Cricetulus griseus: one gene and its partners. The protein of the gene in region 3 interacts with the protein of the main gene of each other region in a pairwise test. Links are inferred from orthologs where the notes say so. Each region holds a gene or a part of one and is shown on either strand. Other genes may lie near its edges.

What was found.
Region 1: the proteins of Htt (region 3) and Pdk2 interact in binary tests that used the Homo sapiens proteins (3 or more experiments, as listed by UniProt). The link is inferred for Cricetulus griseus from reciprocal best matches to the Homo sapiens genes HTT and PDK2.
Region 2: the proteins of Htt (region 3) and Ing5 interact in binary tests that used the Homo sapiens proteins (3 or more experiments, as listed by UniProt). The link is inferred for Cricetulus griseus from reciprocal best matches to the Homo sapiens genes HTT and ING5.
Region 4: the proteins of Htt (region 3) and Zdhhc17 interact in binary tests that used the Homo sapiens proteins (3 or more experiments, as listed by UniProt). The link is inferred for Cricetulus griseus from reciprocal best matches to the Homo sapiens genes HTT and ZDHHC17.
Region 5: the proteins of Htt (region 3) and Hoxc11 interact in binary tests that used the Homo sapiens proteins (3 or more experiments, as listed by UniProt). The link is inferred for Cricetulus griseus from reciprocal best matches to the Homo sapiens genes HTT and HOXC11.
Region 6: the proteins of Htt (region 3) and Ubac1 interact in binary tests that used the Homo sapiens proteins (3 or more experiments, as listed by UniProt). The link is inferred for Cricetulus griseus from reciprocal best matches to the Homo sapiens genes HTT and UBAC1.
Region 7: the proteins of Htt (region 3) and Dnajc4 interact in binary tests that used the Homo sapiens proteins (3 or more experiments, as listed by UniProt). The link is inferred for Cricetulus griseus from reciprocal best matches to the Homo sapiens genes HTT and DNAJC4.

Annotation. Positions count from the first base shown.
Region 1 is NC_048600.1:108,219,304-108,223,331, reverse strand, and holds the start of Pdk2 (pyruvate dehydrogenase kinase, isozyme 2), read left to right. Parts: upstream 1-1,228; 5' UTR 1,229-1,372; coding exon 1,373-1,490; exon of another isoform or gene 1,491-1,507; intron 1,508-3,124; coding exon 3,125-3,266; intron 3,267-4,028. UniProt on the Homo sapiens protein: Kinase that plays a key role in the regulation of glucose and fatty acid metabolism and homeostasis via phosphorylation of the pyruvate dehydrogenase subunits PDHA1 and PDHA2.
Region 2 is NC_048595.1:445,236,813-445,240,955, reverse strand, and holds the start of Ing5 (inhibitor of growth protein 5), read right to left. Parts: upstream 2,801-4,143; 5' UTR 2,699-2,800; coding exon 2,662-2,698; intron 2,354-2,661; exon of another isoform or gene 2,145-2,353; coding exon of another isoform or gene 2,138-2,144; intron 525-2,137; coding exon 453-524; intron 1-452. UniProt on the Homo sapiens protein: Component of the HBO1 complex, which specifically mediates acetylation of histone H3 at 'Lys-14' (H3K14ac) and, to a lower extent, acetylation of histone H4. Component of the MOZ/MORF complex which has a histone H3 acetyltransferase activity.
Region 3 is NW_023276807.1:103,859,681-103,863,180, forward strand, and holds part of Htt (huntingtin), read left to right. Parts: intron 1-2,765; coding exon 2,766-2,979; intron 2,980-3,500.
Region 4 is NW_023276806.1:144,559,187-144,562,686, reverse strand, and holds part of Zdhhc17 (palmitoyltransferase ZDHHC17), read right to left. Parts: intron 1,215-3,500; coding exon 1,121-1,214; intron 80-1,120; coding exon 1-79. UniProt on the Homo sapiens protein: Palmitoyltransferase that catalyzes the addition of palmitate onto various protein substrates and is involved in a variety of cellular processes.
Region 5 is NC_048595.1:399,328,615-399,332,697, reverse strand, and holds Hoxc11 (homeobox protein Hox-C11), read right to left. Parts: upstream 2,671-4,083; coding exon 1,989-2,670; intron 734-1,988; coding exon 501-733; downstream 1-500. UniProt on the Homo sapiens protein: Sequence-specific transcription factor which is part of a developmental regulatory system that provides cells with specific positional identities on the anterior-posterior axis. Binds to a promoter element of the lactase-phlorizin hydrolase gene.
Region 6 is NC_048599.1:137,385,999-137,389,498, forward strand, and holds part of Ubac1 (ubiquitin-associated domain-containing protein 1), read right to left. Parts: intron 2,396-3,500; coding exon 2,288-2,395; intron 982-2,287; coding exon 879-981; intron 600-878; coding exon 491-599; intron 1-490.
Region 7 is NC_048596.1:52,462,499-52,466,558, forward strand, and holds the start of Dnajc4 (dnaJ homolog subfamily C member 4), read left to right. Parts: upstream 1-1,260; 5' UTR 1,261-1,318; intron 1,319-1,359; exon of another isoform or gene 1,360-1,614; 5' UTR 1,615-1,633; coding exon 1,634-1,728; intron 1,729-4,032; coding exon 4,033-4,060. Other genes in the region: uridine diphosphate glucose pyrophosphatase NUDT22, read left to right, coding at 211-308, 436-529, 747-905.

The DNA of each region.
Region 1 (4,028 bases), on a different chromosome or scaffold from region 3:
CACCTCAGCTCCAGTTCCTCCTCTCACTTTTGAGATCTCATTAAATTACCCCAGCTGTACTTGAATTTACTCTACCTCATGTGGGCCTTGAACTGAAATCCTCCTGCCTCCTGCCTCCAAGAGTAACACCAGGCCCTACTAAAGGCCAGTGCATTGATCCTGCCTGTGTTTTGGAACAAAGCTCATCCCTTAGCAGGGGTGTGGCAAGGGTGGGTCAATAAGCAAAGAACTAAGGAACCCCATGCAGACCTGCAGAGTAGGAAACACACCACGGTCTACCAAAAGGGGGCGCATGGCGTTTTGCAGGGAAGAGGCTCCGGCTGTTAGGAATATTGAGCTCCTTAGCTCCTAAGATACTTGTAATAAGGAAGCCAGACACACAGATGGTTGCCTTCTCAGGCTAGGTACACAGAAGGTTGCCTTCTTGGGTGGTTTGCAAGACGTTCAAGGTTTTTGTTTAGTCAAACGAGCTAGGTAATAATACAACGAAACTTCCTAAAATTAGTACCTGCCTCTGGCTCTGCTAGTCCTGAGGGATTTGGCTCGGGGTGTTTTTGTTGTTGTTTTTCAAGTGACAGAGGTCAATATAAGGCTACATGCATGCTAAGCAAGTACCAGACCCTCGGGGCTACACTCCCACCCCAATTTTGGGTGTTTTTCACGTGAAAAAGAAAACGCCGCCTTTTCTTGGGCCACTTGGATATTTATAGAAGCTAGAGGGTTCCAGGCATGTAGGATATAGTATAAGCTTGCATCCTGGTTCCAAATTTCGCAAGTGTTCATTCTGGGTCCATCGTAGGAATGGAAAACTACCAAGAGCTCCTATGGCAGAACAGGTGAACATCAAGACAGGTGGAACAGGTGCCTTTAGGAAAGGGGCAAGGCGGGGAAGAAAGAGTTAAAGGAGAGGGAGCGTGAAGGAGGCCGGGGGAAGAATCCAAGGAAACGCAAAAGAGTAGAAGGCCAACCGAAGGGTTAGCGGGACTCTGGGAAAGAAAGGGTTAACGCAGGTCTCGCCCCTTAGAAGTCTAGGGGAGTTAGCAACTGGAGGCGGGACTTGAGCTCAGCGGCGGAAAACAACAGGCCACCTCCAGCACCTACACGGTTAAGGGGGTGGGCCCCGAGAAGAGCCACGTGTCGAAGCGCAAGGCTATTGGTTATCCCGGAGTTGTTTGTGCGCGGCCATTGGCGACGTCAGGGCGCAGGGACAAACCGATTGGCTGGACGTTGGAGGTTCAGCCAGGGCAGGGATAGGGAGGAGGTGGCCGAAGCGCGTCTCCCGGCCGAGCTGGGCCAAGCGGAGGGCCGGTGCCAGCACCTCCAGCCCCGGGACAGCAGTGGCAGCCGAGCCGAAGCCGCGGGCGCCGTCGCGATGCGCTGGATCCGGGCACTGTTGAAGAATGCGTCCCTAGCAGGGGCGCCCAAGTACATCGAGCACTTCAGCAAGTTCTCCCCGTCCCCGCTGTCCATGAAGCAGTTTCTAGACTTCGGTACGGAGTCATCGTAGGTGGGCACCGGGGGCGGTAGGCGCGGAGGAGGAGACCCTGGCAATGACAGGTTAACGTTCGAGGAAGAGGTTCTGGGTGGCGGCAGGAGGGTTGACTTGGAAGAGTATGGACAGGAACGGGTAAATGGCGAGGCAAGCCTGGCTGCCCAGAAAGAGTTAAAGGGTGCCCCCTTCACACAGTTACTAAGAATGGGGGCTCGGGGGAAGCGTTGGGAGGGGTCATGGAGAGTAAGAGGCAGCGAGGTTATAGGGCCTCATCCAGACATGATAGAGCTAATGGGAGATCGTGGCTACTGACAGGAGTAAATGGGACCTGCTACTGGGAGTGCCAGGGAGATCCAATCATCTAGAAGACCGGTGCTGTGCATGAGAGTGGGGTACTTTTGAGCTGAGTGAGAGAGAAATCCCAGGGCAGCTGGGAAGGGGGCCCTCTAAGTAGGAGGTGCTGACAGGAGCTCCCCTGATTGGGGAGCCTCCACCCACTGCAGCTGCCCACTGGGCAAGGACACTTGAAGATCAAATCCATTCTGGCTCGGCAGCCAGTTCCTAGCTGGGCACAGCCCAAGTTACCATGAGGTAGTCAGGTGGCTTATACTCTCCTATGGCTGTCCCTGGGTTTCTGAAGATCACCCACTACCAGTGTTCTGGGTGTCGAGGTAGCTTTGGGGCAGGAGAAAGCTGTGCCAAGTGTGTCCCTGTCTGTCTACATGGCATTCCCATGTGCCAGCTGGTGATCAGGAGTGGGTCCAGGTCTTTCAAGAGTTGGCTTAGGTTACAGCTGCGTCACAGACAGGAAGATAGGGAGGTGGCAGACAAGATTTGGGCACTTGTTTTCCAGGCTGTGCCTTTGTTTCTCCTTGTTCTGTTGGAGTCTTGAGCTTTTCGTGTGTGGGAAATCCTTCAGGGCCCACTCTAAAGCCCCAGCAAAGTGTCACAGCTGGAAAGGCTTGCAGTAGTCCAGTCTACCTATATGGAGAAAACATCCCTCAAAAGGATGGTGACCTACCCTTGGTGACAGAAGCAAGGCATAGTCTCGGTCCTAGGTCTCCTGTCTCTAGACTAACACTACTCATTCCTCCACTGCCTGTTCCTCTTGACCCTGGACCAAGGTCCCCATTTGCTTCACAGATGGTCATTAAACATGGCCAATTCTACATTGGCATCCATCTGTCTCATCAGCCTGGATGAGATGGGCTGCCTTAGGGTTATTAACTGAGTTCCTGCAGTCCTGGGAATCTAGTCACAGCACCCCAGGGAGGGAAGGATTTCTTAGGGACCTCTTCCCCTGCCCCCAGTACCCTGGAATCAGTGCCTACCTAGAGGGATGAGAAGAAAATTGAGGTGACTTAGGCCAGAACAGTTCAGAATGAGCCCTAGAAACATCTTGTCTCCCTGGTTAAAGACAAGTGGGGTTTTAGCTGAGGGTCAGTCACAGGTGATACTGCTCCTGAAGTGCCAAGCTAGGTGGCGGGGTCCCTGGGAAGGCTCAAGCACTGCAGTGTTACGAGGGCTGCCTTACTGTGTGCCATGGATAGGTCACTTGGTCATTCCCAGTCTCCACGTGTGTGCCAGTTCTGGTGGTTTGCAGCTATTGACTGACCCCTCTTTTACCCTCAGGATCCAGCAATGCCTGCGAGAAAACTTCCTTCACCTTCCTTAGGCAGGAGCTGCCTGTGCGCCTGGCCAACATCATGAAAGAGATTAACTTGCTTCCCGACAGAGTGCTGGGCACCCCCTCAGTGCAGCTGGTGCAGAGCTGGTAAGACCCCCTTCCTTATCTCCCTGTTCCTCAGTTCTTGGGTCCAAGGCTAAGACAGAGGCAAAGCACAGGGGCTCCAAGCGACTGGGGAGTTGCCCAGGATCATGTGGGAATCCTCAGCTTGGACAGGGACAAAGGTCAAGTTCAGTCTGTGTCTCATCATCCTGCTGTCTCTGGGTAACTAGGGTCCATCTAAGAAAGTGCAGTTTTCACAGTCAAGAACAAAAGTCATGCTAGTGTCAGCAGTAACCCTTGGCCTGCTCCTGGAGCCCAAGCTCCTGTTTGTCCAGGTAACTTGGGAAAACAGGAAACAAGATGACGATGCAGCTATCCAAGTGGCAAGACAGTTATCTAACTGTCTTGAATATTGGGGAAGCACTGTATTAAACACAGACAATACAGTTCCTTCCCAAAGAGTTCTAAGGGCAAGGATCAAAAGTTTACTCCAGGTAGCCGTAGGCACAGAACTCTGTCTAGAGCTGGGTAACTGGAGGCCAGTAGCCACACAGGAAACATAAACAAAGGTGTGTCTGTTCCTGGGCATGTCCCTGGCTGGTCATCAATAGACTTTTGTAGCAACTGGACAAAAACCTAGTCTTCAAGATTTACAACGTGGGGCTTGGGAGCTTGTGTCATACCTATGGACCCAACACTGTCCTGTGTCTATGCAAATGGCAGCAGCTGACTATGTAGCTCAGCGATAAAACATGACTTTGCCCAGCATGCCACAGCCTTAGGCAGCACTCATGGTGCAGGCCTGTA
Region 2 (4,143 bases), on a different chromosome or scaffold from region 3:
CAAAACAAGAGCCTTTAATCCCAGCACTTGGAAGGCAGAGACAGGCAGATCTCTGTGAGTTTTGAGGCCAGCCTGGTCTACAGAGCAAGTGCCAGGATAGGCTCCAAAACCACAAAGAAACCCTGTCTCAAAAAAACAAAAACAACAGCAACAAAAAGTACCAAGTCAGACAGACAGTGGTGTATGCCTTTAGTCCTTGCACTCAGGAAGGAGGGGCAGGTGGATCTCTGTGAGTTTGAGGACAACCTGTCTACAAAGTGAGCTCCAGGACAGCAAGGGCTACAGAGAAACACAAAAAGCAACCATGACAAAAAGTACCAGCACTGCCTCCAAGACATTGTGCAATGCAAATCCTGTGCTCTACCAGGCCCCTTGTAGCTCTCTGACATCCCATGCCCTTTACTATCTCTCTCCCTGATCAATGGTCAAAATTCAGCTTAGGCTATACCCACCTTCTGTTCTCTGGTCTAGCTCTCTCATCAGCTGGAAGTTCCTCTGAAGTTCACAGGGAAGGTTCTCAATGCCTGAAAGAGACATCAGTAAGTGCTGTACTTCTCAGTAGACAAAAATCTACCCCCAGGGATGGAGAAATGGCTTGGCTGTTAAGAGCACTTACTGCTCTTCCAGAGGACCCAAGCTCAATTCAAATCCCTGTGTGAAAGCTCACAGCCATCTATAACTCCAGTTCTAAGGGATCTCTGATGCCCTCTCTGACCTCAGAGGGTACTGCACACATGTGGTGTGTAGACATACATGCAGGCAAAACACACATACATGAAATAAAAAACAAATAAATCTTTAGAAAAAAAACAATAAACAACAAAATCTCCAGGGCCCTCCAGTTTGGGGACTAAAATGATTAAGGCCATTTTAGGGGCAGGTACCAACAGTCTGACAGTTTCAGAAGCACTGGCAGCTCAAAGGGAGAATGCAGGAACCTGCCCCCAGCATACGCAGACAGACACCTCACCCCATCCCCAGGCCACACCACTCCTGAACTGCATCTTCCGAAGCTCAAGCCAGAACCTGAGTTCTCCTTCATTTCTCCAACTTTATCCTGATACCTACTGTACCAGGAACCATACACCAAGTGGTTCTAAGACATGCTCTCTCTGCTCGGTCCAACATATTAGCCTCTTGCCACACAGTTGTGAGCACTGGAAAAGCAAACAGTGCCACGGAGCAGCTCACCAGACCCTGTGGTTAGGCTGAGCTGGTGGGCAAACCAGCCCGTGCTGCTTTCCTGATTGTCTGCCTGCACTAAGCTTTCAGCAGACTCCAGATGCCTTCTGGGTCTTGTCACACTCCAAGTACTCTCCACAGCCAATAAGGCCAGCGTTTTAGGCCCGCATCTTAGAAAACTTGCTGCTATAACTTCCTGAGCTCCCCAAGACATTATCATCCACAGCCCGACTCCCAGGGCCCTTGGCAGCATTCTATCCTCCAGGGACCTTTAACTGCAGCCTCCGGAACTACATTTATTCACAGGCTTAATCTGCTGTGAACTTTAAAAAAAAGGGGGGGGGGGCTGGAGAGAAGGCTCAGCGGTTAAGAACACTGGTTGCTCTTCCAGAGGACCCAGGTTCAATTCCCAGAACCCACATGGCAGCTCATAGCTATCTGTAACTCCCGTTCCAGGGGATCGGATGCCCTCATACAGACAAGACATCAATGTACATAAAGTAAAATTAAATTGTTTAAAAAAAATAAAAATAGCCAGGCGTTAGTGGCACACGACTTTAATCCCAGCAACTCGGGAGGCAGAGGCAGGAGGATCTCTGTGAGTTCGAGGCCAGCCTGGTCTCCAGAGCAAGTGCCAGGATAGGCTCCAAAGCTACACAGAGAAACCCTGTCTCGAAAAACCAATAAATAAATAAATAAATAAATGGGAGGGAGTGTGTCCCTACTATCAGTGAGTTGTGGAGAAATGGGGTTCCTTCCCACAGGTGGCCAGCACTGAAATGAACCCATCTTGGATCCACATCAGAACGCCCACTGGAGGGGCTTCAGAGTGAAGACGGATCACCTTGGAGACCCACTTCCCAAGCCCTGCTAGACAGTCAAAGCTGAGGGGCGCCCCCGCCACCCTAAAGAGTGGGAAATAATCCTCTCAATTCTCGCCGGGAGCCAATCTCACCATCCATAAATAAACGGAGGAGGGCACGCCTGGGATCTCGTCAAAGATCAACCCGTTACACGGGGCATCCTCCCTTGCCGGGCTGGCTTGTGACAACACGAGTTTCCCGCGAGAAAGAACCGCACCCCGCTCGCTCGCTCGCCCAGAGCTCCCTACGCCCGCTCGGAAAGCAAACACCACAGCAGCAGGTTAGGAAGGGGCGGGCCTTCCCCCACGCCAGACTCAACGAGAGGGGAGGGGCTCGGGGCGTGGCCGGCGTCGGGGTGGGGCTGAAGCGGAGGGGGCGGGCTGAGCCGCAGGCCCCGCCCCTCCGTGACGCACCTGGAATTGGCGCGGCGGAGGCGGCGGGACCCCCGCGCCGCGCCCCCCTCCACCCACGGCCCCGCCCCAGGCCGGCCGTGAGCCCCACTGTCCCCCGGGCCAGTCCCCGTCCGCGGCCGCGCCCGGGGCCCCGCGGGTCGCGGTGGGCCAGGGGCGGCGGCGGCGCAGCCCGGCGAGGGCGGCGGCTCGGCCAGGGTGCTTACTGTCCAGATAGTGCTCCAAGTACATGGCAGTCGCCATCTTCGCTGCGGCCACGCTCGGGGTCTGCGCGAGCGGGCGGTGCCGCGGACTCGGGGCGGGGCGGCGCCGCGCGCTCACTATTCATGAGCCGCGCGCGCCGATTGGCCGGAGAAGGGGCGGGGCGCGCCAGGGCCCTCCCCCACGCTTCCGGCCGGCTGCGGTCGCCAGGCGGCGCCGCGGGGTTTTCGCTGAGGGAAGCCGGGCGGGCGGTGGAGTCGCCTCGCGCTTTGCAACGCGGAACTCTGACGGCCGCGTTCCGAGCCTTGGCGCTGCCCCGTGGAGCGCTCGACGGGCGACCTCGCCTGCACGTGTCCAAGCTTCACCTTCCGGCCGACACCTGCCGCGAGCGGCCCGGGGGGGGGGGGGGCTCAGACCCGGCGGAGCCGAGAGCTGGTGCGAGCTGCCTGCGGGGCGGTGTGGTGTGGTGCCGTGCAGCTGGCGGCGAGGTCCTCGGGGAAGGAGACGACCCGCCGCCCCCTCCCACGCACACACGCACCCGCCACCCCCTCACACACGCACACACACGCTCACACACACACCCGCCACCCCCTCACACACGCACACACACAAACACCCGCCACCCCCTCACACACACACGCTCACACACGCACGCCACCCCCTCACACACACACACGCTCACACACTCACGCATAAACACACCCGCCACACCCTCACACACACTCACGCATAAACACACCCGCCACACCCTCCCATACACACGCTCCCACTCGCGCGGGCCTTGGTTAAAACACTGATGCTCTTTGTTGCTGTGTGGCCCCGAAGGGGCGTGCCCACACGTGGTGAAGAAGCCATGCACACCTCCATGCCTGCCCCCCCCAAAAAAAAAACCTAGAAAAGCCGGGCGTGGCGGCACGTGCAGAAGCAGGTGTATCTCCATGAGTTCAAGGACTGTCCTGTCTACATAACGAGTCCTATGCCGCCCACACTAGCTAGACCTCGTCACAATTTTTTTTTTTTTTTACTTAAAAAAAATGAAGTTAGCGAGGCTATGGTAGCACACGCCTTAATCCCAGCACAGCAGAGGCAGGCGGATCTCTGAGTTCGAGGTTAGGCAGGTCTACAGGGTGAGTTCAGGACAGCCAAGGCTACATGGAGAAACCCTGTCTCTAAAAACAAAAGGGGAGGGCTGCCACTTCAGTATGTCAGATGGTGGGATCGTGTGTGCTCCCTCTGTGTCTGAACCTTACTCGGTGTTATCGTGGATGCGTTTGCCAGTCACCATGTATCTCTCTGCCACACAGAACCTGCTAAGATTAGGAAATTATCTCCAGCAAAGTTTCATGGGCGAAATTTTAGGTGCCACGTGCCAATCCTGCTTGTGCTCTGTAACTTCACGCTGGTCAGAAGCACGTATCCTAAAAGGCCGAGGGTCAAGGGCAGCTGGGGCTACAGCGACAGTGTGGGAACTACCCCTCACATCCTCA
Region 3 (3,500 bases):
TTACTTCTACATCATAGTCCATCACTGAAGGAAGTCAGGACAGGAACTCAAACAGGACAGAGGCATGAGCTGATGCAGAGGCCATGGAGGTACTGCTTACTGTCTTGTTCCAAATGGCTTGCTCAGCCTGCTTTCTTATAGAACCCAAGACTACCAACCCAGGGATGGCACCACCCACAATGGATTAGGCCCTCCCCTATCAATTACTAATTAAGAAAATGCCCTATAGTCCCGCCTACAACTCAGGCTTATGAAGGCCATTTTCTTAATTGAGGTTCCTTCCTCTCAGATGACTTTAGCTTGTGTCAAATTGATATAAACTACCCAGCACAATTTGTCTCATCTTTGTGTGATTAATGTGTAGCAGCATATGGGAGACTTGAGTCTAGCAAGGACAGCATTAAAAATGGCATGTGAAAGCTATAATCCAGAATAGCCAGCACATGGGATGTGAATAGGCTGCTTTTTCAACCAAATTGGAATTCTAAAAGAGGAAAGTTGTTTTAACTCCATCTTTCATATGTATAAAGAAAATAGGTGGTCATAAGCTATAGTCAGTTCATCATCATTTATTTCATGACTGCAAGAAAGTGTATCATGTGTTCATTGTATTCTGGAAATTGATCTTTACTAGCCCCCTTGTCTCAGTTAGGGTTTCTATTGCTGTGGAGAGACACCATTACCACAGCAGCTCTTATAAAAGAAATATTTAGTTGGTGCTTGCTTACAATTTCAGAGTTTTAGTCATTATCATCATGGTGAGAAGCCTGGCAGCATCTAGACAGACATAGTGCTGGAGAAAGAGCTGAGAGTTCTACACTTTATCCACAGGCAGCAGAAGATTGTGTTCAACACTGGGAGTAGCTTGAGCATATAAGACCTCAAAACACACTTCCTTCAACAAGGCCACTCTTCCTAATAGTGCCATTCCCTATGGGCCAGTCTTTCAAACACATGAATCTATGGGTGCTATTCCTATTCAAACCACCACACCCCTGTATTCATTACTTTTCTCATTGTTGTCATAAAACACTCTGACAAAAAGCAGTTTAAAGGAGGAAGGGTTTATTTTGGCTCACAATTCAAGGGTATAGTCCCCATGGCAGGGAAAGCATGGCAGCAGGAGCTTGAGGTGTCTGGTCACATGGCATCCATAATCAGAGAGCAGAGAGAGGAATGCTGGTGCTCAGCTTGCTTTTTTCTTTTGATTCAGTACAGTATCCCTGCCCACAATTAAAATGGGTCTTCCTACCTCAGTTGACCTAATCAAGAAAATCCCTGATAGGCACACCCAGAGGTTTATCTCCTAAGAAATTCTAGATCTTGCTAAGTTGACATCAGTATTAACCATCATGACCACCATGTAGTGAGGTGACCTGTCTGCTCTAGATAAAGAGACATTCTCCCATGGGGTGAGGTGCCCTGTCTCTTCTAGATATAGAGTAATTCTCCACTTACCCCTCAAATATCAGAAGGGGTACTACAGAGCTGGTCCAGGTCTTGAAAGCATTAGTTCCTCGCCCTTGGCTTCTTTGCCAAGCATCCTTATGCCACTACCTTAGTGGGCTGCTTTGTTGCCCCATTGAAGACAAGGATCCACTGCCCCTTGACATATGGTAAATGGGAAGAGAGAAGGAGGCACCTAGCAGGTTAGAGGTAGGCACATAGGAAGAGATCCAAAATACAGGACCAGTTGGTTAGATTTTCCAAGTTGCTAAGTTGGCTATTTACAACTATGAAAGTTCTAGCTGTGACCATAGGAATGTTTGATTTAGGGGAACTAATGATGAAATATAGTTTTTAATATTAAAGCTTGAAGTTCTACTTGAAAAATTGTTGTCCTCCCCATAACTCCTTAAATGGCTAAAAAAAATTGACAAAGCATAATAAAACTACCATATGAGGCCAGGCATGGTGTCACATGCCCTTAATTCCCACACTTGGGAGGCAGCGACAGGAGGATCTCTGTTTGTGGCCTGTTGGTCTACATCCAGGCCAGCCAGGGCTATACAGTGAGACTCAATCTCCAAATAAATAAATGAATAAGTAAGATTTTAAATTTTTGTCATGTGAAATGTTGATTTTCCAAGCATATTTTTGTCACATATAAGACCACCTTCCAGATGTTTGTTCTCAGGCTGCAGCAATGCTTGGAACATTAGCCTGGGTGCACTGTTTATAGCAATTAAAATTTGTCATCCTATAATTGTTTCAGAGAAATATAAGGTCATAAAACTAAACATACTACTTTAAAATTCAAGCCTGACAAAGAGACCAGAAGTATTTACTAAACATATGTTAAATGGAATTATTAAAATATTTATTTTTAATGTATGTAATATAGGATATACTTTTTAAAACAGAGAATTCAACTTAGAGTCATATTTTTCTTTTATCTATTTACATTCTAACTGAAAGCTTTTCTAGAGTGTATTTTCTTACTATAACAAATAACTTGAGGCAAGCTGCTTCATAAGGAAAAGAAGATTATTTTAACTGATAGTTCTATAGATACAAGGTCCAGATGCTCATCTAGTGATGTCCTTCTTGTTGTCAGAGTCCCAGTGTGGTGCAGAGAATCACCATAGTAAAAAGGACACATGAATGTCCATGTCTCTAGAATAGTCTCACAAGCATTCCTTACAGTACTCTAGTCTCGATTATCTTAGAAACAAATGCTTGTTGGATTAGCTATGTGTTTCCAGCCTGAAGAAAAGTTTACCATCTTTGCTGTTGTTTGTCTGGCCTGTAATGTTCTGACCCAGGAGTTCAACCTAAGCCTTTTGGCTCCCTGCTTAAGCCTTGGCATGAGTGAGATTGCTTCTGGCCAGAAGAGTCCTCTTTTTGAAGCAGCCCGTGCAGTGACTCTGGACCGGGTGACCAGTGTTGTTCAGCAGCTTCCTGCTGTCCATCAAGTCTTCCAGCCTTTCCTGCCTACAGAGCCAACAGCCTACTGGAGCAAGTTGAATGATCTGCTTGGTAATTTAAATATGGTTCCCAAGCCTCTGGGATCCTCCTATTATCTCAGCTGAGGTTACAGGTGCACACCCTGCAACTCAAATCCTCATGCTTTGCAGCACTTTATCCACTGAATTATCTTCTCAGCCCAAGTTATCTTAGTTTTTAAATTATTTTATTTTATGTGTATAGGTGTTTTTTACCTGCATATATGTCTGTACTGCATGCATGCAGTGCCCATGGAGCCAGAAGTTGGCATCAGATCTCATGGGACTGGAGTTACAGATGGTTGTGAGCCACTATATGGCAGCTGGGGATTGAATGTAGTTCCTCTGGAAGAGCAGCCCATGCTCTCAACTGCTGAGCTATGGCTCTAATCCCAATTTGTCATAGTTTTAAAAGTATTACAGATCCAGCAGTGCTTTGCCCCAAGTACATACGTAGTCAGGACTGTTGAGCTGCAACACTGAAAGGCTGACAAAAGTAACTGAAAAACTGCACCAAATTCTTATCTGTGAACGTATTTCGTTGTTGTTTGGCTA
Region 4 (3,500 bases), on a different chromosome or scaffold from region 3:
ACACAGCCATAGATCATCCAACAGATCATAAAAAGCAAGAAGAACAGGTATCCCATAAAGTACCTATGGTTGCCTGCACCTAAACAACACAGAAGCAATTATGTCAACTGAGAAAAAACGACTGGGAACACACCTTCATCAGGTGTGCTATGACAGATACGATACAACTTGGACAATAATCAATACATCCATTACTTATTTTGTGGAATGCTTTGAGAAGATTGATTTTTTTTGTTTTTATTTTCATTAACCATGGAGTTTATTAAAGGGGGGAAAGAGCGAGGGGGGGGAAGAGAGAGAGAGACAAAGGGAGAGCGAGAGATAGAGAGGGGGGCGAAGGGCAAGAGAGAGAGCCAGCGTGAGGACATTGTTTTAGTAAATGTTTTTAAATAAGAATGCTGGCAATTACGATCATGATGTGATGAGATCACTGGCAACCATTCTGAAGGAAGGATCCCAAAAACTAGCAAAACATAACTATGGCTTTCAATCCTATTCTTATGGTGTAAGTGTCCTGTCAAACCCATTCCATCTTCCTTTTATAACCCTTACAATCACGATCTCCTCTCCCATGGTCACAAGTCTTTGTAACCATTTCTTTTCTACCTATCACCCTTTAATCTCCAAGCCACTTTCAGATCACTGACCTAATCCTCTCAGATTGCACCAGTGGTGTGAGGTGTGTAATTCTTCCTACCTGTCCCTCTTCTCTGTCTCTGCACATAACTTTTCAAATATTATTATTGCCTTGCTTTCTCCAGTTTTCTTCAAATATCATTTCCCTCATCAGACGAGTTTCATTGTTACTCAGTGGGGAAAGAGGACAGTAGACACCAGAGAGAATGGACAGTGAAACAGTTCGACTCTTCCTGACTGATTCTTACACACACACACACTTACACACACACACACACACACACACACACACACACACACACACACACACACACACACACACACACACACAACCATACACATACATGCACCTTGATTGAGTTGCCATACAACCAGGAAGCATGTGGGGTATAAGAATAACTATCTATTTAAATCCTGTATGTCAATAGTTATCTAATAGTAATTTAAGTTAACAACATTCTAAGAGATTGCTAACACAACTTACCTACACAGTTACCCACCCATGGGCAATGATGATCAAATTTTGCTATGCAGCGGTTGCACACACCACAGTGTTTGGACCTCACCGGCTTCCGAATCTATTAATAAACATATTAAAGTATTATAAAAAACATTGCATTAAAAAAAGCTGACCAGGAGTGGTGGTGCATGCCTTTAATCCTAACACTCAGGAGGCAGAGGTAGGTGGATCTCTGTGAATTCGAGGCCAGCCTGATCTACAGAATGGGTTCCAGAACAGCCAGGACTGTTACTCAGAGAAACCTGTCTCAAAAACAAAATAAAGCAAGAAAAGCTGAACATTTATACTTTCAAAGTAGAACTGTGAAAAAATATAACTGTATTTCTGAGAATTATACCAATATTCCAACCAATAAAACCAAAACTACTGTTAATTTGTTCAAAACAAAAACAATAGCAACAAAGACGGTAAAATATGAACTCTTAAAACAATTTCTAAAAGAGAAGGAAAGAATGGAGAATGGAGAACTGATTTACAAAAGGTAACCAGTGAGCTTTTAGGGCTGTTTCTTCTGGGACTGAACACTGTGTGCAGGACAAGTGTTCTATGGCTGTCCTAACTCTCCAAAAATAAGAATAAAGTTCATGGGGTTGGAGAGATGGCTCAGAGGTTAAGAGCACCGTCTGTTCTTCCAGAGGTCCTGAGTTCAATTCCCAGCAACCACATGGTGGCTCACAACCATCCGTTATGAGATCTGGTGCCCTCTTCTGGTGTGCAGATACACATGGAAGCAGAATGTTGTATACATAATATATAAAATAAAATCTTTAAAAAAAAAAAAAAGAAGAAAGGTCAATTTGTTACAATAAAAGATGACACAATTTGTATCTCATGTTTCTAAACAATACAAACATCAGCACTTCTAAACTCTTAGAAATTCATTTGGTTGATGATCATGATGCTGGTTGCCCTTTAATTAAATTTCTTTTGATAAAAGGAAGGTTGCATTAAAACTGAGTAAAACAGCTTTTCGTATTAGAAATCTTTAATGAAGGCACCTTCCCCAAAATAACAAATCTAGCAAAAATAGTTGTGTTCTCTTTAACTGCCTCCTGTAATCTCAAATTAGGTTCAGCATTTCCCCTGCTAGAACTGACAACCATATGGATTTAGTAGTCTTATTTCTTAACAAAAAGCCATTATTCTGGTCTTTATAAGCACTACAATGCTATTTATAGTACCTCTCCCTCTACTGGGTATGCTAAATCAGCCAAGGGGGAATCTGGTGTAAAGATTCCCAAGTCTCCTTCATTAAATGACATTTGAGGAGGAGAAGAAAAGCACCTTACAAGAGCACCAAATTTCAAACAAAAATGAAACATTAAAAAAAAAAAAAATCTGATCCTTAACAACAAGGTAAAGGGTGAGTTGGTCTCAAGGTTCTTAAATATAACACCCTTGGCCTGTAACCAACTAACTCATTTCTAAAAATCCAATCTGCAAGTCTTCTTAGGAAGTCATCTATTTATCTATGTAATAAATAATTAAAAGCACACACCACAGAGTGAAAATTATGTCTTTATAATAGGATATGCTCTATAATGAGGAATTATCCACCAAAAAGTACATGGTTTACAATACATAATAACAAGTTTATGCCACCATGATAAAAAGCCACCAGTTATTTATTTAACAAGAAAACTTCTATCTACACTGACTATAAAATTTGCATATCACATGCAAGCACACATGGTATATGCATGACTTTGTGGAAGCTGATTATCTTCACAGAATAGCAGTGTATCACAATAAGAAACAGTAACAGTCTTCTATATTATCCATGGTAAAGCACAGAAACCAAACTTGTAAAATAATACGCGCATGTGCAAAAGAATGCAGCCAGTGCTCAAACATCACTGCCAAAAGCAGAGCAGTGTGCACTCTGAACACCCATTCACAAATGGGAAATTAAGCTGTTTAAAACCTTCCCATAATCCTAAGCTATCTCAACTACTTTACTAATGCATTTACTATTATGTACTAATAACAAGACATTGGTTTACTTTCGCTATACAACTTAAATGCATTTAGTTTCATGTATGATTTGGGGGAATGTAACCATGTGGTAGTGTTTAAAGTGTTTTCACAAATACTGTAAAATAATCAAAAGTTTAAATTTAAAATGTCTATGATAAAATAGTCATAACTGTAACTGATTTCATAAACAATACTTTCAAGTCTTAATGTATGACTTGATTCAAAACAACCACTTTTAAATTAATGACAATGTAGTACTTTAAGTTGCTCAGATACTTCCAGATAAATACTTGTATTTGTTACAAGACTATGTTGTCTGAAAAATAATCCATGGGATTTTGATACTGTGACTTTTAAACTCAAGAAT
Region 5 (4,083 bases), on a different chromosome or scaffold from region 3:
AAGGCAGGATCACATTTAGCAGTCCCCTAACCGAGGGGCGAGGCGGGGTGGGGGGCGGGGAGTCCAGGAGGTCTCACAGACAAGGTGGCTCAGCGGATCTTTTCACTTGGGCTAGGGAAGGCTTGGAGTTCAAGGATTGTTCGGCTCTGGCGCCCACTGTGCTCGCCCCTCCCCTCACCCAATCCAAGCAGCAAGACTTTGTTGCAAGGTGTATTTTCTTTTAAATAAACAGTCTTGGGGCCTTGGCGCCAACCGGGTCCACTAGCCACGGGTCAGACACTTCCCTCACGCCTTTTCCCAGGCCGAGTCGCTGTCCCTACAGTGAATTAGACCCGAGGCGAAGGAGGTTCTGGAAGGAAGTGCCAGTAACGGCAGTGGGGGGCCAGCCCTGGCCGCAGTCCAGTTTTCCACCCGCGGAAAAAAGACGAGTTAGAAAATAAAATAAAATAAAATAAATTTCCCCCTTTCCCTCCCCCCACCCCAAAGGGCTAGGTCTGCAGTTACAGCAGCGGATTTCCTGAAAAATACTGCAGCCGGTCTCTGCTCAGTTTTTTTTCTTTCATCCTTCTGTTCTGAAACCAAATTTTCACTTGTCGATCAGTCAGGTTCAGCATCCGGGACAGCTGCAGCCGCTTCTCTTTGTTGATGTACACGTTGAAGAAAAACTCTCGCTCCAGTTCCCGGATCTGGAATTTCGAATAAGGGCAGCGCTTCTTGCGGGTGCGGGGGGCGTCTGGAGGGAGGGGAGGGGGCAAGTGCGAGGAGAGGGGAGAGAGACACGTGAGACCCCGGGCGACCCCAGCGGACCCCAGACGCTGAACGCTCAGCAGCAAAGCTCCCAGTCAGTCCTGCCGCTGGGCAGCCCTCCCCCTAGGCCGGCGACTCTTGTTCCGTAGTCTCTTCGCTGGGGCAAGCCTCAATCCCACTGTCAGGTCTAGCTTGGTCCACACACTCAGTGTGGACCTGGTGCCCCTGCCTCTCAGGCCAGAGTCCTAGCTGACAGTGTCTACGGGTGGAGGAAAGCCTGCCCTAGCCACGTGCTTTCCTTGGGGGTGCCCTGCCTGCTCCTTCTAAAGCTTCTGCAAGTCCTTGATCCTCCCCCTCCTCCAGAAATCGGAGGGAGCCACGGAGAATCGGCGCAAAGAATTGGGTTCTGGCGAGAGCAGTGGGAAATGGGGGGGGGGGCGACCAGCGAGTAGAGGTAGCTGAATACACGGGAGCCTCCAGCCAGGCCCTGGCTCCCCGGGACGCCCTGCCGCCTATCTGCCCGGCTACGCACATTGCCTGGCTGGGCCTTCCCAGAGGGCGTAGACCCTGGAGAACCACCGACACCAACAGCTCAGGGGAGCTCCGATCTTTTCCCCACTCCCCTATCACCGCCAAACCCCAGCTTGCCTGGATTTCTACTCAAAGACCCGCGAGCATGTAATTTGAACATTAAAAAAAAAAAAAAAGTCGTTTTAAAAAGAAGCGGAGCTGCCTTGGAGCGCCTGTCTGGGCTCCAGTTCTGCCTCGTCGCTCTGTCCCTTACCTCTCCCCCTCTCTGGGTTTCTCCCGGTCTGTCCCTCGCCCTCCCTTTCCCCCTCCACCCCTCCCCTCCCTCCCAACCCCCCGGCAGCCCGTCTCCCCATCCTTTCTTAAACGCTCCTCTAAGTTCACGATCAAAGTTAATATCGCCCGCAATGGTGGCACTTTTAAAAATTTCACAGACCGAGGGAGATAACGGAGGAGGGGGGCTCACCCGGCTTTTCCAAAGAGCCCCTTTCCCTCCCCTCCCCACCCCTTCTCCATCGTAAAAAGTCGAGTCGTTGGGAGAGAGGGCTTTGTAGGTTATAATAAAATCCTTTGAATGCTTATAAAACTCCACATAAAATAGGACTGACCCAAAACACGAGGCTGTCCGCGCTTCCCTGGCCTCCCCCCTACTCCAGCCCTCCCTCTCCGCTCCCTCCCTCGCTGCCCTCGGGTTCCCGGCCGCTGCTACCTACTGGGGGCGGCTCCCTTGGCCGGCTCCTTGGTCGCTGAGTGGGTAGAACCAGACGAGCTGGGATTCGTATTCTCCTCCTCGGCCTCGGCCTCAGCACCGGCCTCTGCCCGGGACGCCAGTCCCGAGGCCGGGGGCGCCTCAGGCTCCCCCTTGGCCTCGCCCTTGCCGGAGCAGGGGGGCTCGGCAGGCGCATCTCCGCCACCGCAGTAGGCGTTGTCGAAGAAACGGTCGAAGGCTTGGGGCAAGACGCTGTTCTTGTTGACTGAGGAGTAGAAGCCTGCGGGGGCCGCGTGTGGGGCGCTGGGGTGGTGGTGGCCGCCGTAGGAGCCTTCATTTTTCATGAGAATCTCAGTGACTGTGGAAGGAGGCAGGCATTCCCGGTGCATAAGCTCGTCGGCCGCCGCATAGCAAGACGAGTAGCTGTTCCGATGGTGCCACTTGCCGGACGGCTCCAGGCCGTAGGAGACCTCCCGGACCGGGGGCACCTGGGCTGAGTAGGGATAGGAGATCTGACGAGAGGGGGCCTGGGGCAGGAAGGAGGAGACGGTGGAGAACTCGGGCACGTAGTAAGTGCAACTGGGCAGATAGAGGTTGGAAGCGCAGCTCCCTCGCTCGCCGAAGTCAGCACCCCTCTCCTTGCGCGAAGGCGAGCAGAAGTTGCCCAGGTTGACCGAGTTAAACATCGTTCTCTTCTCCTGCCTGCTCCGGATGGAGGTTTTGGACCCGGTCTAGCGAGGGGGGAAATTTTGGGAAGGCGAGATGACGCGTTATCCGTCTTAGTCTCTCTCCCCGAGCACGTGATCCAAAGTAGATATTGTCATATATCAGTTCGGAGCACTTCGCAGACGTAGGAGGGGTTCTCTCTTAGGTAAGATCGGGGACGTTCAGGCGATTGGTTTGCAAACACCGCAGAAACATTATGAAAATCAATTGCAGATTTGTATTCGTTTTTCTCTCGTCACTCCCCTCCTCTCCATTCCACAGAGCGAGCAAAGGAGGAGAAAGAGAGGGTTGGGGTGGGGTGGGCGGTGGGATGGGCGGGGGCGGTGGCTGGGAGGGGGTAATTGTATTTTTTCCTAGCTGCTGCTCCCCCCACCCCCAGGATTGGGGGAAGGAGGAGAGCTTTCCGTTTAGGGGTCTGGCCTCCTTCTTATGATATGCTGGGGTAAGAGGCAGGACTTTTTCCTACCTGATTTCCCCAGGAATATTGAATCCTCAAGTTTCAGGGGCTCTTACCCCTCTACCTGAAGAATCAGTGTCTATTTACAAGAGTTTGAAGTCCTTTAGATTATTTTCCTGGACAGAGCCGGGTGAGCTCGCTCATAGGACAGGTTCCCAAGAAGAGTATCTGAAGTTTCCCAAAGGTGAGGCAGCCCAGCTCTGAGCTTGTGTCCCAACTTTGCCTAGCTTGCTATGCTGCCGCTGGCTAGGGACTCCTATTAGTCATAAACCAGTGGTGAGCAGCGCGCCAGCCGCCCAGCCGGTGCCTGGCAAAGTCTGGGAAAAACCTTCTCTAATGTTGTGTTAAATATTTAGTATGAGAGAGTGGCCCTGGGTGAATATTTCATGCCTGCCTTTATTGTCAATCAATGTGCAGAAAGCTACATCCACTGTGGATTTTAAAATCCCAAACCCCAAAGAAAAAGATTAGAATGAGAGTCATCTATCTTATCTCTATCTGGGGCCCTTCGTGTTGGGAGCTCAGCTCCAGCTAATGGGCTGAAAAGAAACTTGGCAGTAGGGTTCATTGTTAAGGGAACTAAATTGAGGGATCCTAATTTTTATAAAAATGGTTTTGGGAGCTTAGGTGAGTAGAGAGACCAGGTGACTATCTCTAGTATCAATCAACAAGACAGTGGAATAAAACTGTGGTCCCAAAGTGGGCAGGGGTGGGGCCAGAAGTCTCCAGCCTCTCTCATGACTTCTTTTCTGCCTTCTCCTCTTCTCAGTCCAACCCTGCCCTCCTCCAAGTCTGTAAGCCTCCTTCCTGGACTGCTGTGTCCAGGGAGGAATACTCAGTGATTTGCTAGCCGCCCATCCCTTTGGCCATTACAACACACATCTGGGCAGCTGAAAATAACTTTATTGAAAGGTTC
Region 6 (3,500 bases), on a different chromosome or scaffold from region 3:
GACATGTACCCCAAACAAAGGGACAAAGGAGTCTAGGTCCTAGGTCCACAGCACAAAGAACACAACGATTAACCAGCTCTAGCCTACAGCATTCATATGGGACCTGAGTAACTGAAACCAGAAGTGTTAAGAAGACTATGAAAGAACTCCTGTCCAGACCAGGGGCAAGTTTGGCTTAGAGCTCTCCTAACTTGAAGGTGCAGGGCACATTTACAGACTGATTTTTTGGCTCTCTTAACAGCCAGGTATGGTGGTTCACACCTTTAGTCCCAGCTACTCAGGAGCCTGAAGCAAAAGGATTGCATGAATCCAGGAGTTCAAGACCAGCATAGGTAACAGAGATCCTCAACACACACACACACACACACACACACACACACACACTTAAAATAAACAATAAAAAAAGTATGATTCCATCAGAGTTTGGGAGGGGGAATCACAGGGAAGCCCAGGCCAAGTTCCAAAAAGGGAAGAAAGAGAGCATACTGACTGGTTCAGCCGAAGGGCCTTTGAGGCTCTGCTCTCAGGAAAGCCCATTTCTGTGAGCTGCCGTAAGGCAGTCTCATCCACTCGCTCATCCTCATCTTCATCCAGCATAGCTGAGAAAAAAGAGAAAACCTGTCATGAGGGGATTCCTAAGCCCTTTGAAGCTCCGTAGTCTCAACTGCAAAGGCTCTTAGCAATTACTGATGCCACAGAAAACTCAGGCCCTAACATCAGCTCTTACACATTAGGAATGGCCACACAACAGGCCAGGAGCCACACACACCCACCCCATAATCAACTGAAAGCAGAACCTGCTTTCAATGTGAGGGCTGGGGACACATTCTGAGGCTTGAGCAGACAGTTGGCGGGTGCAGGCTAGGACCCACTCATACCATTTGCCTTCTTAAACAATTCAACTGCATCAGGATTCAGTGCTAACAGCTTCTGTGCCACCTCAATGAGAGACACCAAGATCTTCCGGAGTTCGGTCTGGAACTGTAGTAGAATGAAGAAAGAGATCATGCCTGGCACAGTGATGCACACCTGTAATCCCTGCTCTTGCAAGGCTGAGGCAGGAAGACTGCTGGGAGTTTGAGGCCAACCTAAGCTATACGGTGAAACCCTGTCTCAAAAAGAAAGAAAGAAAGAAAGAAAAGATCATTTCTCTGAATGTCCAACAAACCTAATTAGATCTGCAACTCTACCCCTGAACATAGCCCTCCAAATCTATGAGAGCATTTGGCCTTCACCTTTAATCCCAGCACCTGGATGGCAGAGGCAGACAGATGTGAATTCAAGGCCATCCTGATCTACAATGAGACTCTGTCTCAATAACAGACTGGCGACATCAGAGACTCCTTACCTCCACTCTAGCACCAGTCCCCTGCCTGATACTGGGCCTGGAGGTGGGACATTACAAGCCTAAAGCCTCCTGAGACCCTATCCAGGGTTGGACCCACAGAAACCAGAGAGGGACACATGTGCCAGCCACTGCAGAAGAATTACAAAGCTCTTATCAAATGGAACTCTTTGGGGCTGGAGAGATGGCTCAGAGGTTAAGAAGACTGGCTGCTCTTTCAAAGGTCTTGAGTTCAATTCCCAGCAACCACATGATGGCTCACAACCATCTAAAATGAGATCTGGCGCCCTCTTCTGGTCTGCAGAGACACATGCAGACAGAACACTGTATACATAATAAATAAATAAATCTTAAAAAAAAAAAAAAAAATGGAACTCTTCAAAAAAGACCCCAGAGAGGTTCGGCTTCCAGCAGTACCAGTATGGATCCAGAACTGATAAAGCTGAATGCTGGCCACTTTCCACAATTCCTGCATACAGAAGCATACTTTATCATGGACTAACCCACGTTAGCATGCTGTAGGCTTCTGACTTAGTTTTCTTGTCCAAAGTAATTGGGGAGCTCAGATTCCTCCCTGGAAGCTTTGTTGAATTCAGAGCAAAGTCACTGCATTTCCCTACAGCTGTCTGTCCAGGGCTATAGATATCTCGTCAACTTTGTAGTTTGAAAAAAAAAAAATGTAATTTATAGAAGAGTCCAAAAGTAGTAAAGAGTTCCTGAACATTCTGTTTCAGATTCCCTTTTTTTTGTTTTTTTTTGGGGGGGAGGATGGGGGTGGGATGAGGGGATGACTATAACATCCATGTTAGCCTCAAACCTGAGCTCAAGCCATCCTCCTGCCTCAGCGTCCTGAATGTCACCACACCAACCCCAAGCACTTTTAAAGAACTTCTTGTTATCCCACAGGACATGCCCCCAGTTCCACACCAGGCAGGTACTCACGTCTCTCATGGTGGTTTGAACTGCAGTCCGGTCTGTGCTACAAGCAGGCAGGTTGGCTGTTGCCCGGAGGATAGCATCTTTGTCTGGAGCCTTCTGCTCTTGTTTCTTCTGAAGAGAAAATGATTCAAGTCAGAAAGGAAGAACCCAAGAACATGAGGAGTATGACAACAAACTTGGACCAACAGCCCACATGGAGAACAGTAACCTCCTAAGCTTTAGCTGTGATGATGCCCTTGAGCTAGAAGATTCTGGGAAGTTTCGGGCACCGCATTAGAGGCAGAAGCCTAACAAGATGCTTAGGACATGATCTCACGTGCTATAAACCATATGCAGGTGAAGACAGAGAGGTTGAGGCTGCAGGAGTGGCAGTCCTGTAGTACTTTGGTGGAGCTGGGGCTGAGGCCTCCAGGGCTGTAGTGAAGCCTCCACGAATGAAAGGAAAGGATGAAGGTGGCAGAAGCTCACAGATAAGGAAGACAGGAGAGAAAATCAAACCAGCAGAGGAAGCAGCACTTGGCATGTTCAGAAGGCACAAGAAGGCACACACAGGATGCAAAGAGCCCACAGGATGCAAAGAGCCCACAGGATGCAAAGAGCCCACAGGACACAGCCTACTAAGATGCAACCTACTCAAGAGCACTGGGATACTGGTGCCAGAAAAGACAGGCCTGGGATCCAAGAGCCAGAATGATACTTGTACCTACTGGCCTTGGCCAACAACAGTCTGGTGAAACCTGAGAGCCTAGAGTGAGAGGCTGTTCTGAAGAGAGGGAGGGAAAAGAGGGAAGGGGAGAACCTTCCAGCACCCTGCTACTGCTTTGCTTCCTGTTCACCCCAGCTACTCACAAAATCATCAAACCAACCAGAATAGGTGAGACTGAGGAGTAGGATGGGTGCAACAAGTTCTCTACCCCAGAGAGCTCAGCAGCTGGCACAAGCCATATAGCTTCCAGGGCTCGCAGAGGCTAGGGGTGTAAGGAGGTAGTGAGGAGGAAGAGGAGGACGAACAGGTAAGGAAAGTGGGTACCTCACTACCTGCAAACCAGAGCCACACCAACCCAGCTTGTCCACACCAGGCAAGAGCCAAAACAGCAAGGTAAAGGGGTTACAAGAGCTAGTTCCAGGACGGCCTCCAAAGTCACAGAGAAACCCTGTCTCGAAAAACAAACAAAACAAAACAAAACAAAAAAAAAAAGAAATTCCATAACTCCTC
Region 7 (4,060 bases), on a different chromosome or scaffold from region 3:
CAGTGATGCATACCTGTAATTCCAGCACTCAGGAGATGAAGGCAGGACCAGAAATTCTGGGTCATCTTTGCTAAATAGTGAGTTTAAGGCCAGCCTGGGCTACTTGAGGTTCTGCCTTAACAAAAATAAACATACAAAAACACCAAACTAACAAACAAAAAACCCAGGCCATTGAGCTGTCAGCCTGACAGGTGGGACTCCCTGCCACAGGTGAACGTGCCACCGCATACCTTGAGCCAGCCACTGTTATTGGGCATCGCTTGCAATGAGACCAGCGCGGGCAGAGCCAGTGCAGAGTTCCATGTCCAGTGAGTGGGCTCTGGGGTGCAGGATCCTGGGTGAGGTGGGTGGGGAAGGAGTGGGTGTGAGGCGACTCGAGTTCTGTGGGGTTCCCATAAAGTCTGGACACCAAGCCACCCTCATGTTTTTGTCTAGGTGCAGCCTAACTTCAGAGGAGGTTAGGAGTTATTACATGAGTGGGGGACCTGAGGCCCACGAGTCTACAGGAATCATCTTTGTGGAGACACAGGTGTGGAGTTGAGGCCTTCACGGTGGTCTGGTATTGGGGGGAAAGAATACTTGGGTGAGGCAGAGAACTCCCGGGTCTCCTAGAGTTTCCAGAGGCACAAAGCTTGGGTCCTACCTAAGGGGAAAGCCCATGAACGGGGATAGACAGGAGTACTGAGATTCAGTAACTATAGGCAGAAAGTGAGGCCTGATGTCTGGGTCTCACTGATTTCTCTCAGAGGGTACAGAGACTACAGGAGACAGAGATGTGGGCACAACTCTGCCCTTCAGCCAAAGGCGCCATCCTCCTCTACAATCGCCATCCTCCTTTACAGTCGGGTGCTGGGACGTCCCGCCTGAGTCATCCTAGCGTCCCAGCCCTATCACTGCAGCTCTAAAGACAATAAAGGACTTTTATTCTTGGATACCGTTGCCTTCTGCTGCTTCTGCTAGTCTGGGATCCTCCGGGAGAACCTGGGGTGGGTGAGAGGGGCTGGCCACGTGGCAACGCAGCCTCCGTGTGTCCCTGTTTGGAGAAGGCGGGCCACGGCGCAGAAAAAGCACCTCTTTGAACCGCGCCTGGCTGCTCAGAGGGATGGGGCACGGGACGGGCAGACCCCGGTACCTTTCAGAAACCCCGGCACTTCCGCTTCGCGGACTCTGGCGTTTTAGACCAATGAGCGTACGGGGGCGGGTCCTTTGTTCGTGTACCCGCCTTCCTGCCCAATAAGAGTGGCGTGAGCCTTACACCAATCAGGGCTTGGGGGCGGGGCCTGTGCGGGCGCAGGAAATGGCGGCGACTGTGGAGTTTGTGAGTGGGGGACAGGGGCGGGGCTCTGCTGTGGCTCCTCCTCCTCACGCCCACCTAACGCTATAGATGGGGAGGGGTGTCCCGGGTCCTGAGCCGGTGATCTAGACTTGGAGACCAGTGCTGGAGGCCGTAGCACTCGCGTCTGAGTCTTGAATAAAGAGGCCTTTCTGAAATCTGCTTCAGTCTGGCTTTGTGGGAAACTGAGGCAGGCTCCTTCTCTCTTCCCCGACACCCGAGGTCCGGCCCAATTGATTGGGATCCAATGCATACCTCTTGGGGGGTCCTCCCTTTCCCAGCTGCCCCGCCGCTGTCATCATGCCGTCCCTGTTGCTCCTGCTGCCCCCGCGCCTATGCCGGCTGTGGCCCTACAGCCCTCCCACCCGGCTTCTCTCAGCCGCCACAGAGCAGCGGTGAGTTGAGCGCCAGATCTTGGCCATGTTGTTCTGTGATTTTCTATTGAGAGCCCTGTGTTCTGAGATAGCTGTCTGCATTATACGCCAAGTGCCTTTAGAGATCTGTCCCAGATAACCCTCACCTTCAGAGCTGGACACTGAGTATCAAGGGTTCAGAGCAGAGCCCCAAGATTAAGTGAGATAAGTGGCAGGTCGGGAATTTGAGCTCAGGTCAAAGCCAGTGCTCTTTCCATAGTTCTGGTATGTTGTCAGCCTTCACTGTGCATACACTGGAAATGAGGAAAGTTGAGTACAAAGATTTAGATTTCTGGGCTGCGATCTGGAGATGCTGGTCAGGAGGAATGAGGGGGGGTGAGGGTGGGAATCTGCCTTTTCCTTTTCCTTTGAGATGCAGTTTTTCTATGTTGCCCAATCAAGGTTCCAAACACAATCTCCAGAGTATCTGGAGTTCAGATGTGCCTTGTCTGTCCCTTTAAACCCTAACACGAGTCATCCTGACCTCACCTTGACCATGCCCTGGTTAGGTGTGGTTAGGCACACCTGTAGCCAGTTTCTAGCAGGTGTGGCTTACACTGTCCCCTACACACCACCACCACCCGGCTTTAAGGCTTTAATTTAAATTAGAAACAAGCTTGTTTTACTTGTCAATCCCAGTTCCCTCTCCCTCCCCTCCTCCCTTGCCCCCCACCGACCCCCTATCCCATCCCCTTTCTGCTCCTCAGGGAGGGTAAGGCCTTCCATGAGGATCTTCAAAATCTGTCATATCATTTGGAGCAGCCTAGACACACCCTCCCCCGTGTGTCTAGGCTGAGAGAGTATCCCTCTATGTGGAGTGGGCTCCCAAAGTCCATTCATGTACTAGGGATAAATACTGATCCACTACCTGAGGCCCCAGACCTCCAAACTGACATCCTCTTTCAGGGGGTCTGGAACAGTCCTATGCTGGTTTCCCAGCAATCAGTCTGGTGTCCATGAACTCCCCTTGTTCAGGTCAGCTGTTTCTGTGGGTCTCTCCAGCCTGGTTTTGACCCCTTTGCTCATCACTCTTCCCTCTCTGCAACTGGATTCCAGAGTTCAGCTCAGGCATATAAGGTAGTCATCAATCTCATTATCGGAGAAGTGCATTTAAGGTTGTTAGTTGGGATCAACCTTGTAGATATCTGGACATTTCCCTAGTGACAGATTTCTCTTTAAACCTATAATGGCTCCCTCTGTTATGGTCTCTCTCATCCTGCTCTCCTCTATCCTTCCCCTGACTCGATCCATCTTGCTCTCTCATGTCCTCCTCTCCCCTCCTCTTTCGCCTAACTCCCTCTCCCCTTCCCCCATGCTCCCAATTAGCTCAGGAGATCTTGTCCCTTTCCTCTTTTCTGGGGACCAGTCACAAAAAGACAAACATGGTATGTACTCACTCATATATGGATTTTAGACATAGAGCAAAGGATTACCATACTGCCAGAGAAGCTAGGAAACAAGGAGGACCCTAAGAGAGACATACAAAACCTGCTGTTTTAAGTAAGTCTTTAGGAGCTGGAGGATGGCTCAGAGATTAAAAGCATTTGCCAGCACAGAGGACTCAACACAAGGACTTACAGCCACACTCTCTGACCTGTTGGGAGCACCAGGCATTCATGTGGTGCACATACCCACAAACAGTCATATACATAAAATCAAATAATAAAACTTTAAAGAAGTGTTTAAGCCAGGATGGTGGTGGGACAGTGGTGCCCACTGTCAGCCGCAGAACTTGGGAGGCAAAGGCAAACTCTGTGAGTTTAAGGCTAGTCTGATCTACCTAGGGAGTTCACGTCAGACAGAGCTAGTGAGACCCTGTTTTGTTTGTCCCCCCCCCTTTGTTTTTTTTTTGTTTTTGTTTTTTTGTTTTTGTTTTTTCGAGACAGGGTTTCTCTGTGGCTTTTGGAGGCTGTCCTGGAACTAGCTCTTGTAGGCCAGGATGGTCTCGAACTCACAGAGATCTGCCTGCCTCTGCCTCCCAAGTGCTGGGATTAAAGGCGTGCGCCACCAATGCCCGGTAGTCCCCCCACTTTTTTTTTTAAGCAGCAGAACCCTTTTTGGGTCTGTGGTGTAGGAGTCTGATGAGGAAGACACTTTGAAACTAAGAAGTCCTGACCATTCCTGAAACATCCCAAAGGGAAGGGTAATCTGGAGCAAAATGTGTCTTGGGACTAACTTCAGTTCCTGGTGACTGAATTGAAGGGTGTGCCCAGAGAGGATGGCAGGACAGGGCAATGATGACCTTTGGTCTCCTAAGCCTCTGTAGGTTTGGGCTTCTCTCCATAGGTCTTCTCCGTCTAACTACTACGAACTG